2 linked regions of the Schizosaccharomyces pombe genome follow. The gene in region 2 interacts genetically with the main gene of each other region. Each region holds a gene or a part of one and is shown on either strand. Other genes may lie near its edges.

What was found. Genes that interact genetically often act in the same process or in processes that back each other up.
Region 1: of sir2 (region 2) and dpb4, changing one enhances a phenotype caused by changing the other (phenotypic enhancement), as found in Schizosaccharomyces pombe (one study listed by BioGRID).

What each region holds. Positions count from the first base shown.
Region 1 is NC_003423.3:1,284,235-1,289,390, reverse strand, and holds dpb4 (DNA polymerase epsilon subunit Dpb4), read right to left. Parts: upstream 3,446-5,156; 5' UTR 3,249-3,445; coding exon 3,076-3,248; exon of another isoform or gene 2,944-3,075; coding exon 2,825-2,943; intron 2,787-2,824; coding exon 2,446-2,786; 3' UTR 2,270-2,445; downstream 1-2,269. Other genes in the region: SUMO-targeted ubiquitin-protein ligase E3 Slx8, read left to right, coding at 1-240; AP-endonuclease Apn2, read right to left, coding at 377-1,155, 1,193-1,985; mRNA-decapping complex subunit Lsm1, read left to right, coding at 4,307-4,370, 4,419-4,487, 4,536-4,651, 4,729-4,902; pig-A family phosphatidylinositol N-acetylglucosaminyltransferase subunit Gpi3, read right to left, coding at 5,066-5,156.
Region 2 is NC_003423.3:3,607,371-3,615,673, reverse strand, and holds sir2 (histone deacetylase, Sirtuin family, NAD-dependent Sir2), read left to right. Parts: upstream 1-3,987; 5' UTR 3,988-4,117; coding exon 4,118-4,301; exon of another isoform or gene 4,302-4,464; coding exon 4,465-4,527; exon of another isoform or gene 4,528-4,564; intron 4,565-4,568; coding exon 4,569-4,651; intron 4,652-4,781; coding exon 4,782-4,813; exon of another isoform or gene 4,814-4,898; coding exon 4,899-5,335; exon of another isoform or gene 5,336-5,399; coding exon 5,400-6,028; 3' UTR 6,029-6,457; downstream 6,458-8,303. Other genes in the region: heat shock protein Hsp104, read left to right, coding at 598-3,315; plasma membrane ZIP zinc transmembrane transporter Zrt1, read right to left, coding at 6,558-7,784. UniProt on the Schizosaccharomyces pombe protein: Involved in silencing within the mating-type region, at the telomeres, and according to PubMed:12867036 also within centromeric DNA regions.

The DNA.
Region 1 (5,156 bases), 2.3 Mb from region 2:
AAAAAACAGGTTGTTCCATCTTCACAACGACTAGCTGATTATAAGTGTGTAATTTGTCTGGATAGTCCGGAAAACCTATCTTGTACTCCCTGTGGGCATATATTTTGCAATTTTTGTATACTAAGTGCTTTAGGTACAACGGCTGCCACACAAAAATGTCCGGTGTGCAGAAGAAAAGTACATCCAAACAAAGTTATATGTTTGGAAATGATGCTCGGATCTCAAAAAAAGAAATCTTAACCGTACAAAATTCCGTATATACATATTAAGAATGTTAATGAAAGATGTGTGATGCACTGCTCAATGCTTTTTGCGGTTTATACACATCAAAATTGAGAATTGATTAAGAGCAAGTTATGCTAGTCATTACAAATTTTCAGTCCTTTGAATTTGCTCTCCAATCTGAGTCCCAGATAAAGAACCTGCATTGGAACGGTTGAGTATCTTCCTCAGAAACTGCATTTGAGTTTTTAATCAGTTCACCAACCGGTCTGGCACAAATCCAAAACTTCCGCCCGTAATTGATTCCCGGCTTCCTCACTGTCAAATACTTGCAAGGTTCCTTGTGACCCTCACAAAGTGGAGGAGCTCGTTCACTGAATATTTGCTTCCAGGCGTTCCCGTTTTCTACTTTTTTTTTTACTGTCAACCCTATGTCAGATTCATTATTGTTATCAAGGACCTCAATCGAAACGTCTTCTGTTTTATTGGTTTCTTCTTTCTCTTCCTTTTGCTTCGCAAAAAATGAAAGAAGCTTCGATTGTTCTTTTCGTCTTCTCTTTTCCGGTGGGTAGGCATCGACGTCTATGACAGAGTTTGCACGAGAAACAGTTGGTGAGGAGCCGCTGGACGCAGAAGCAGATACGTTTTCGCTCTGAGTGGGTGAGTTGTTTTTATTCTTTTTCATCGAATTGAAATGTTGGAACATTGAATGAATATTTTTTGATGGCCGATAGGCTGAATGATGCGCCGTTGATAGTAAAGGTGGTTCTTTTGAGTGACTTAGAAAGTTGGACAACTTTTTTCCTTCATATTCTTCTTTTAAATCTAAATATACGGGGCAATGATCTGAACCCATGACCTCAGCCATAATATCTGCATCTTGAACCCAAGGTAATAAATCGGGTGTTGCCAAAGTGTAATCAATTCTCGTACCTATCCATTGTAAAAAAAATAACAATTCAGAACTTACCATAATTTGTGGGCCTTGTATTAAGTCTTGTATTCCAACATGTAAACATTCCTTTCCGAGTAGGATGTTGAATACGGCCAATGTCCAACAGTAGTCCCAACCTGCTTGGTAGTAATAAATCACGTATCCATTGTCTTGATTCCATGATGCTTGGAATAAGACTCTCTCGAATAATGTCTTTTTGATCAGCAGTGTCAATAGGATTACACAAAATATTCACATCCCCAACGAGAATGATTTTTCGATTTCCTTCCTTTATCAATCTTTCAATTCTTTCTCGTAAGGCTTTATAAAAGGCCCGTCGATATTCTAGTCTATTTTCTCCAGAGTTTACTGGACAGTAAACACCGATTAGGATGAACATCTGAAAATCTAATAATATACACCTTCCTTCACTATCAATCCAATTAGCAGTTTTTCTGTCAATGTCTTTTGGGAAAAATCCTATCTTTTCATGCTCCGGTGCTTCTGAATATGAATATTTTTGTCCTCGTACTGGCAGGATGCCAGTAATTCCCTCTTCTGCTTTCACTGGAATAGCAACATCTTTTTTTACATAAAATCCAACCCCACTATAGCCTTTTCTGATCTTAGGAAATGTAAAATAACTGTCGAATCCCTCAACAACTGCATATTGTTGAGGAAAGCTGTCTTTCTGCATTTTCAATTCTTGAACACATATTACATCAGCCTGTAACTCTTGAAATATCTCTTTGTAGGAATTTTTTTTATTCCATGGAAAATAATTGAATGGATTCTGTATACCGTTCACATTCCAACTTAGAATTCGCATTCTTATAATTTTTACGTAGAGAAAGTGTGCGAAGGTAAAGGCGACAGACTTTTGAATTTACAATTGTTGACATAAGTTAATCTGATGGAAAATAAAATGCATTTGTTTAATTCGAGAATGAACTTTTTCTTTTCTTTTCGACCTTCTCCCTATTGAATGTTGATTTTCAAAAAAATTCTAGATTGACTAATATTGAGTTACAACTGTAAACAATCTAATGATTCTTTCTAAATATATGTCATTAAACGAGTATACATGTTGTGCTAGAAAGACATTATCTCAAACTGCTGTTTAAAAAAGCTATGTTTGGATACAAGGATGTAAATTGGGGTATTAACAGGTATCCAAAAAATCCATTAAAAAATAAAGAAGGTTTAGTTTTTCGTGTAAAAAAATATGATTAGCTCTCCATGTAAGTTAGGACTATTGACAATCTTCATATACATTTAACCAACAGTAATTACGAAGAATCATTAAGTTGAAGAGATTCTTCTGAGTCGGATTCAGAGCTATCTTCAATTGGGTTTCCCGTAGCATCTGTAAGATGAATGGTTTCTATTTGAGGAGATTCTGCGTTTGCGTCTAATGTATCATTCACTTCTTCGAGGTCCTCCACATCATCAATATTTTGCTCAACTTCATTTTGTGCTATATCCTCCGCAATTCGTTCTTCTTCTAATTCGTCTTTTTCTTCATCTAGAGGAGTAGTGTCATGCGCGTCTATTTTGGCTTTCTTTCTGTTATCAACATCTGATACGTTAGGGAGTTTCAATCGTTTTTCTTTCAAGGCAAGCTCATATGCTTTAATAGTTAGAAGAAGTACAGAGTAAGAAACATACCTTCGAGATGTTTTTTTAACGTTTTAGAGAATTCTGGATACTCAATTTCATCGAGCGCATTCAAAACGTCTTGAGGCATAAGAATTTTTCTGTTATTATTCGTAGCAATTTCCCCAGAACTAAGTAACGTTAGTCTTTATTCATTCATATACAAAGTGTTTCCAGAAGAAAATAAAATTGGCAATTATATAATAAATTCTTTCATCATACAAGCCCTTCAATATGGTTATATAGTTATATAGATTACATACGCGGATGTTAGAAAACTAACAAAAAGAGTTGCTGAATTGATCATAGCCTTGAGAGCTTCTTTTTGTACAAGACTCTTTTCAGGTAAGACACCTTTGACTAATCGCATAATGATCGATCGAGGAAGCGCCAGATCATCCAATTCGGAAGTTTCTTTCGATTTATCTTGATTCATATTGATTTTCCAGCCGCTAGATCTTTTACAAACGCTGTATACAAGTCTTTTATAAATCCAATCCAAATATCATCCTATGGTCACCAAACGATAATCACAGAGAAAGGCGGTTGCTTCTTTTTAGCTAATTAATGTATAATAAATTCACTGAGTCGCCTATTTCTGTCAATTTTCACTAAACACTATCTGTGCGTTATGAGCAGAATCCGAGAGAGCCTTAGAGTTGAAACATTTGTAGAAATGCTATCAAATTTCTTAAAACTAAATAGTTGTACTGTTTTGTTTATATTAAATGAGTAAAAAAAAAAGTTTTTTAGCGTTGTTAGAAATAAATAAAGCTTTTTGATAACCATACAATACATTATTAAAGGCTCGATTTTTGATTGTAATTAATAGATAAAAACAACTAAATTTATTATCTTTTTTCAGAACACTCCAAAAACGTTCAATGAACGTTCTAAGAGAATAATAGGCAATCTCTTCTCAGTCGAAATAGCTCAGAATAGGGATATTACAAATGGGATTGGCAACATTTTTACAAGTTCGATTTTGGAATTGATAAAAATCATCAAATTATTTATTTCTGTTCTTCGCAAAATGTTGAGCCTTTCAATGAACTAATCCGCTTATGATGCTGAAAAATTGTTAGGTAGCTTGAGTATAATTAGATTCCCTTTTTACAATCTGTGATCAAAAATATACATGTTTTTGTTCTTTAATTTTTGTGAAGACCGACTTCCCTTTATAACTAGAAAGTCAGATTACAACATTCAATGATGGGCAAGTTTAGAAATGGAAAAACCAAATAATTTAATTTACAATTAGCAAAAAAACATAACAAACGAATAACATTTAAACTTCAGAAGCACTTTTAGGGTTAAACAGGGAGAATTTAGGATTCCAGATTTGACGACCTCAGAGCACTTGCTTCTAACCATCTCCTCGAACTCGTTTTTTAAGGAAAACACTCAAATAAAGTCATCAGGCGTTTATAAAAGAAATAGAAAGTTAAATCTAAATTAAATTATTAGTTTATGCTACATCCAAATAATAGCTGAATGAATCAAGCTACACAGATTATCCCATTCACAACTTCTGGGTCACTTGTTGACTACGTAGACAGTACGGTGTTTTTTCCAATGTTTTCCTTGATCTAACTTTACCTTTTAGGAAAAGTGATTGTTGTTTTACGAGATGGAAAAAAACTGATTGGAATTTTAAGGTCCTTTGATCAATTTGGTATGGTTTGCGTGAATAGGCGCATAAGTGAGTTTACTAACTGTGTAGCAAATTTAATGTTGCAATACACGATTGAGAGGATCTATGTGGATGATATGTACGGGGACATAGACAGAGGTGTGTATATTGTTCGGGGCGAGAACGTCGTGCTTTTAGGTGAATTGGTAAGTTTCGTTTGTAACATAAAATATTCGAGCATCTTTATAAATTTCTTTGAACGTGGGCTAAATATTTCGAAAAGGATTTGGATAAGGAGTATGATGCAGTCAAACAATTGCGACGTATGCCTGCTGAAGAACTGTATCCTTTGGCGAAGCTTCATGAAGAAGAGAAGAAGAAAAATATACGTGAGAAGGGCAAGTACCTTCATTCTGTAGGCTTTAGTGTTGACGGCGGACATGATGATTTGTATTAGACAACGGTTGAACAAATTTATCACAATATTGCTATACCGTTTGTTTACAGTCACGATAGAAAGCTATCTCGACCGCTGTTTATTCCCCTTTTAAATGGATGTAATGTAATTTTTAAGACATGAATCGTCATAATCCCATTACCGTTCGTTCAAAGTTTAGTAATCATTGTGCATCTTTTAAACATGCAGTTTTTATCTTTGTCTTTTTTTTGGGGTCCGTTAATACCAGAGATTCGTCAAAGTTCTGCTTAGAA
Region 2 (8,303 bases):
AAAAAATTATTTATTCAGTCATTGATGAATTCTAACGGTATTTAGCAAGATGCAATTGAGAATAAGTTGAGGTTAGTATCCGTCTTTACGTTGTTCCATACACTACGTAATACGCAGATCATTTCCGGGTTTCGAGTATTCCATGTTTAAAGACAATTCAAAGACTTTTAAGGTAACTGCATTTTTAATTTACACCGGTTTTTTTTTAAGCTATTTTTCTCTTATTTTTTTAAATCTTCTAGTCATGTCTTTGGGATTTACCCTACTTTATCCCTTTCTTTTTCTAGAGTGTAGGAGTAGGTTCGAGTAACAATGTAACTGGCATCTTCTGGTATGTTCCTTTCCTTCCCATAGTAACATCATCGTGTATATATATGCACAGCTTCTCTACCTGCGGCATCCTCAACCATCAATCTATAACCGAAGAATTTATTATAATAACGATATTAAGTTCTTATTAAATCGAACTGAAAACCGTATATATTTACCGTTCAACGACTCTCTCTTTTTTGTTTTATAACGAGCGACAAATATACAATTCCTTTTTTTTGGATTTATCTATAAATTATAAAAATTCCTATAATAATATAACTCGATATGGCTGATTATCCTTTTACTGACAAAGCCGCAAAGACATTGTCTGATGCGTACTCAATTGCACAATCTTATGGTCATTCACAATTAACCCCTATTCACATTGCTGCTGCTCTTTTGTCCGACAGTGACAGTAACGGTACTACCTTACTGCGCACCATCGTCGACAAAGCTGGTGGTGATGGTCAAAAGTTTGAGCGAAGTGTTACTAGTCGGTTAGTTCGCTTGCCTGCTCAGGATCCACCTCCAGAACAAGTGACTCTGTCACCTGAAAGTGCGAAACTGCTGCGAAATGCTCATGAACTTCAAAAAACACAAAAAGATTCTTACATTGCTCAAGATCATTTTATCGCTGTGTTCACTAAAGACGACACGCTAAAGAGTTTATTGGCAGAAGCCGGTGTCACCCCGAAAGCGTTTGAATTTGCTGTAAATAACGTCCGTGGTAATAAAAGAATCGATTCAAAGAATGCCGAGGAAGGATTTGATGCACTAAATAAATTTACTGTTGATCTTACAGAGCTCGCTAGAAATGGTCAACTGGATCCAGTTATCGGACGTGAAGATGAAATTCGTCGTACAATTCGCGTACTTTCTAGAAGAACGAAAAATAATCCAGTTCTTATTGGTGAGCCTGGTGTAGGTAAGACCTCCATTGCTGAAGGACTTGCTCGTCGTATAATTGACGATGATGTCCCCGCTAATCTTTCGAATTGTAAGCTTCTCAGCCTGGACGTCGGAAGCTTAGTTGCCGGCTCCAAATTTCGTGGTGAATTTGAAGAGCGTATCAAATCTGTTTTAAAAGAAGTTGAAGAAAGTGAAACTCCCATTATTTTATTCGTAGATGAAATGCATCTTTTAATGGGCGCAGGTTCCGGTGGTGAAGGTGGCATGGACGCTGCCAATTTGCTGAAGCCAATGCTTGCACGTGGTAAGCTTCACTGTATTGGTGCTACTACTTTGGCTGAATACAAGAAATACATCGAAAAAGATGCTGCTTTCGAACGTAGATTCCAAATCATCTTGGTAAAAGAGCCTTCTATTGAAGATACGATTTCTATCCTTCGTGGTCTTAAAGAAAAGTATGAGGTTCATCATGGTGTTACTATCTCTGACCGTGCCTTGGTTACTGCTGCCCATCTCGCTTCCCGGTACCTAACTTCTCGTCGTCTTCCAGATTCTGCCATCGACTTGGTCGATGAAGCTGCGGCTGCAGTTCGTGTTACTCGTGAATCTCAGCCCGAAGTTCTTGATAACCTTGAGAGAAAGCTTCGACAACTCCGCGTTGAAATTCGTGCTTTAGAGCGTGAGAAGGACGAAGCTTCCAAAGAACGTCTCAAGGCTGCTCGTAAAGAGGCTGAACAAGTGGAAGAAGAAACAAGACCTATTCGTGAGAAGTATGAATTAGAAAAGTCTCGTGGAAGTGAACTTCAAGATGCTAAGCGTCGTCTTGATGAGTTGAAGGCTAAGGCTGAGGATGCCGAGCGTCGTAATGATTTCACTCTTGCTGCTGATTTGAAATACTATGGTATTCCTGATTTGCAAAAACGTATTGAATATTTAGAGCAACAAAAAAGAAAGGCTGATGCAGAAGCGATTGCAAACGCTCAACCAGGCTCAGAACCTTTACTTATTGACGTAGTTGGGCCCGATCAAATCAACGAAATCGTTGCAAGGTGGACTGGTATTCCGGTTACTCGTTTGAAGACAACTGAAAAGGAACGACTCCTTAACATGGAGAAGGTTCTCAGTAAACAAGTAATTGGTCAAAATGAAGCAGTTACTGCAGTTGCAAACGCCATTCGCTTATCTCGTGCTGGTCTTTCTGATCCTAATCAACCAATCGCATCTTTCTTGTTTTGCGGTCCTTCCGGTACTGGTAAGACTTTATTGACAAAGGCATTGGCATCATTTATGTTTGATGATGAAAATGCAATGATTCGTATTGACATGTCTGAATACATGGAAAAACACTCTGTTTCACGTCTCATTGGAGCACCACCCGGTTATGTTGGACATGAAGCTGGTGGACAGCTTACTGAACAACTTCGTCGACGACCTTACTCCGTCATCTTGTTTGACGAGATTGAAAAGGCTGCTCCAGAAGTATTGACTGTACTTTTGCAGGTACTAGATGATGGACGTATCACTAGTGGCCAAGGCCAGGTTGTTGATGCCAAGAATGCTGTTATCATTATGACTTCTAACTTGGGCGCTGAATACTTGACAACAGACAATGAGTCTGATGATGGAAAGATAGATAGTACCACTCGGGAAATGGTTATGAACTCGATTCGTGGCTTCTTCCGTCCCGAATTTTTGAATCGTATCTCTTCAATCGTTATCTTTAATCGTCTGCGTCGTGTGGATATCCGCAATATTGTCGAAAATCGTATATTAGAGGTTCAGAAACGGCTTCAATCCAATCATCGCTCAATTAAAATCGAGGTTAGCGACGAAGCTAAAGACCTTCTTGGAAGCGCTGGTTATTCCCCTGCTTATGGTGCAAGACCTTTGAACCGTGTCATTCAAAATCAAGTTTTGAATCCCATGGCTGTCTTAATTTTGAATGGCCAGCTTCGCGATAAGGAGACTGCTCATGTCGTAGTCCAAAATGGCAAGATATTTGTCAAACCAAATCATGAAGCTAATGCAAACGGCTCTGCTGATATTGACATGGATGGTATTGACGACGATGTTAATGATGAAGAATTGGAATAAATGTATTTCAAATGAGAAAGTTCTAACGATACTTTATGATATAGTTTAATGATATGCTTAATCTTAATATATTTTATTTATTTATAAAAATATAGTATATAAACTTTTTAGGAAGTACTGTTTTCTCATTAAAATGTTCAATGAACTTTATCGAATAGATAGAATCAATTTAACAAAAGCTAAGTACATCGTTTTTAGTTATTAGCAATTCAAGTATGATGAAACATTGAATCTTAAATTTATCAAATAATCCATTGTTATTTACGAAAAACCTCCATTTATTTTAGTAGGTATTAATTAATGCAGTCCATTCAAGAAAGTCGAGCTTGTAAGAAAGTGCTCGTAATTCCTTATAAAATCAAAGCAGAATTAGCTCTCATACTTTTAGTAGATTTTAAATTGAATTTACATGATTAACTTTAACATTTGGTAAATCACTATCATATCATTTCATTACTTTCTACACTTGCGCATTGCATACTAATACGCATTCCAGTTCTCATGGTTCAAAGCAACGTTTAAATTAACAAGTTGTATAGTTAAACTTATACAGTGCTTTGCTTCTAATAGCCATTATTACCAGGAAATAACGAGATCACAGTTGCCCGCATACCATTAAGCTAACGAAACTTTACTGCACTAAACAAGAGACTAGCTTTTCGTAATTGTAATAAGACTTATCGAAAAGTTGAACCAGAGATCTTCAGTTCAGTAGATCATTGCCTTTCTCAAACGAAGCTTTAATTTATACTTCCTTAAAAATAATTGATTAGTCATATTTTCATGTTATACAAACTCTGTCATGGCTTCCAATCCGCTAGATAATAATATGCCGACGACTCCCGTTGAGGAAAAAATTCCAGTCGCTAGTTATTCTCCTAGCTCTTCTGGTAGTAGTTCCGGTGCTAGTTTACTAGTAGATATTATGTGCGGCAGTAAAGAAACTGAGGATGAAGAGGTTGATTCTGATGAATGGGATAAACCAGGTATGAATATCAACTATTAACTCCAATACCTTCAAGGGTACGCGCAAGTCTATTTGAATTTACAAAATTTACAATTGATCAACGATTTTGAGTTCAGGTTAGCTATGTGCTTTTCATATACTTTAGTTTATTTTAATTATTTAAAAAGTTAACGATTCCTTAGAAACAGAAAACATAAGTGATTTGGATGAACGATCCGAAATGGTCAGATATTTAAGGGCTTCAGGTAAGGAGTTACTTAATTTACATTTTAACTAGTATTTGTAGGCTATGCGAAATTCTTGGAGAAATATTTAATAGAAGAAGAGTTGCCTGTACGATCGATTTTAAAAAAACTTGGAATCAATTTGGTATGCTTACTGATTTATAACTTGCATTACATTAAATTAGCAGATTATTTTTGTTAAATTGCAATAATAATTTGGTCTACTGCATGTTTTGTTTTCTTATGACTTTACCTAGATTTATTAACGTAAATAGCCTAGTGCACTTGAAGAGTTTGAAGACATAGAGTATGCTTTTCTTTAACTTCCTTCTTATCTTTTTATCTTTTATTTTTTAAAATATCTGCTATCGATATACTAACGTGCTAATTAGTTTACTTCCTTTGCTGAAGGAAGTTTTAAAACGTGAGGTTGCTAGGAGAATCAAACTTCCACATTTTAATACCTTTGAAGATGTTGTTAATTTATTGAAAAAAGCTAAAAATGTTGTCGTCCTTGTTGGGGCAGGCATAAGTACAAGTTTGGGAATTTTAGATTTCCGTTCAGACAATGGTTTTTATGCCCGTTTGGCACGCCATGGATTATCGGAACCTTCTGAAATGTTTGATATCCATACGTTTAGAGAAAATCCAGAAATTTTTTATACTTTTGCTAGAGATCTTTTGCCGGAGACGAATCATTATTCCCCCTCGCATGCCTTCATTAGATTGCTTGAAAAGAAGAATAAATTATCAACATTGTTTACCCAAAATATAGACAATTTGGAAAAAAAGACTGGACTCTCCGATAACAAAATTATTCAATGTCATGGTAAGTATTTATTTTCCGATTTGCATCTCGAGCACTGGTGATTTTGTCTAATTTGATTATATAGGGTCTTTTGCTACCGCAACTTGTATCAAATGCAAGCACAAGGTGGATGGATCGGAGTTATATGAAGACATAAGAAATCAAAGAGTTTCTTACTGCAATGAATGCGGAAAACCACCCTTAAAATTAAGAAGAGTCGGTCAAAATAAAAAAGAGAAACATTATTTTTCAGATGGTGATAGTGAATCTTCTGAAGATGATCTAGCTCAACCTGGGATTATGAAACCTGATATCACATTTTTTGGGGAAGCCTTACCGGATTCTTTCTTTAACAAAGTCGGGAGTGGTGAGCTTGAAGAGACTGATTTATTAATTTGTATTGGAACTTCTTTAAAAGTGGCTCCTGTTTCAGAACTCATCAGTGTTATTCCTCCTACTACTCCTCAGATTTACATTTCGAGGACTCCTGTTCGTCATACCCAATTCGATGTAAATTTTCTAAGTCCTTATTGTGATTGGGTTATTGTGGAGATTTGTAAACGTGCTGGATGGCTGAATGAATTACAAGCGCTTTGCGATTTACCTGAGTGTCATAGTGGTTCCAAAACGCGAGCTTTCGAAACGGATTTGGATATAAAATTTGAGGAGCCCAGCACCTATCATATCACGAGCACAACAAACGGTAGTTGTTAATTTTAGGACTGATCGATCTATCGAAGTTGAATGTAGAAGCAAATATATTATATACATATATCGAGTATGAGAGCCAGATTATTGGACATTAACTTATTATCCGTTTGAGACTTCTTAGTTTTGTAAGTGCCATTGTTAAAAACTGTTTTTTCTCTTCGCACCTAATGTTTAAATCTGCTAAACTGGGTGAAAACACATTAAAACAAGTTATAATACATTTTACAATACCAAGGACTGTGTAATTAGTAAATGAACATTGAAGCAAATTACATTCATAGGCTATGCAAAATTAGCTACTTTTTTAAGCATAGTAAATCAGTGAAAATGACACAATTATTATTTAAAATTGAAAGATTGATTGGTACATATCAATACAACCAATGAAGCATCTAATTGTACGATACTAAAGAGAAACAACTGAAAACGGACAATTAGAAATTGGTCAACGATATTGACACTCAAACTCAAAAGAAGAAAACAGATTTAATGAAGAATATAAAATGCACGGATCATCGAAAAAGCCACCAAATCAAGCCCATTTACCTAACAAAGCCATAACTCCAGTACCAGCCATCGAGCATGCCAAAAGGTAAATAAGCTTATACCAGTTACGTTCTCTTTCAGGACTAAATAAGAAATCGTGTGCAAGTAATTCCACTAAACCAGCATAAACCAAAATTCCAGATGAGATAGCATCCAAAACACCTTGGGCAGCATAAGACCCATGAGCAAGAGGATCCCAATGCTCACGAACACCTAAACCAGCTGCCATACCAATAGGCGTAACCAACGAATAGATAACGCCCAACACCCAAGGTACCCATGCAGTTTTTGGGCCCCAGGCCATTCCCGCCAAACGAGAACCTAAACCACAACCTTCAAAGGCCTGATGGAAAATAATGACGGGAAATAAAGTTTTAAATTCTTCACCTGAGACGGCAGTTGTAAGACCGATAATAACACTATGCAAAATGATACTAGATTCAAGAATTATAAAGGCAGTAAGTTGTTGCTTTAGTAAGAAACTACGAGCTTCTTCTTTAGTAGTCAAATCGGTACTATCAGTATTCGTATAAGGTTCTAGTTTTACTTCTTCCAAGTCATCCTTTACACATTCATGCTCAACACCATCGGCACATTCTTCAATATCATAAACTGGATGTTCATGAACACCGTGAGCACCGTCTTCGTGACTATGACTGTGTTGTTTGGCACCAAGAGTTGGACCATGATGATCGCCGATTTCCATACCGAACCGCCATTCCACATAGCGATTCAAAAGGACCTCCAACAAGAGAATAAACCAACAAGAAATAAGACAAATACCTGGAGCCCAATCGTAACCTCCGAAAAGGTCGTCAAGACAAGGATCGTAAAGCTTGTTACAAGCAGGGGCTAACAAGTGAATAAAAGCAGTAGCCAAAATAACACCAGAACCAAAATAACGAGCGAATAGATAGAGATATTCAATATAAACGTTGGGTCTGTTTTTGGTGATTTTAGAAAGGACCAAAGGTAAGTTCATGCCAATTAATGAAGTAGCCAAGATAACAAAGATGGCACCAATACGATATCCCAGATGACCATATTCGTTGAATTCATTGGCATCACCTCCACAAGTCACAGTAGCAGAGCTATCATCGTCTCTTTTTACCAATGGACTATATTGCTTATTAAGAAAAAGATGTCTCAATATTTGGTGAGATTCTTGAGCAAGATATTGATTATATGAGTTAGATAAATTGTTTAAAGACATTTTAATGTACGAGAAAGATACAAGATATAACTCAACAGGGCAAAGTTTGTTTTCAACGAAAAACGTTAAAGAGAGTGAAAATGGAATAGAAATTTTTTAACAACCTCCGAGCTGAGCAGAACGAGTTAAAGGGAGCAATAAACTGAGAGGATAATAGTTTAATTAAGCAACGAGGAAATACCAAACGAAACCTGAAATCCAAAACCAAAAAAAATTAAAAAAAAAAATAACAAATGAGAAAGCGGGGAGTTGATTGAACGAACAATAATTAAGGGAAAAGCAAAATACGCGATAGGCGCACAGGAGGAAGACAAAAAGGGAATAGGTTGAAGTTGCAAAGAAAGATCTCCAAATAATCGATATTTTCTACCACAAAACAATAGCAAAATACCTTAGGAATCCAAAGTGGTTTAAAAAAACAAAACCAATACAAAAAATGAGTGATAAGATCTACAACCAAAAAAAAAAAGCGATCGTCCTTTTGGTTTTTTGGCTGATTGTATTCACTTAGTATTAGCA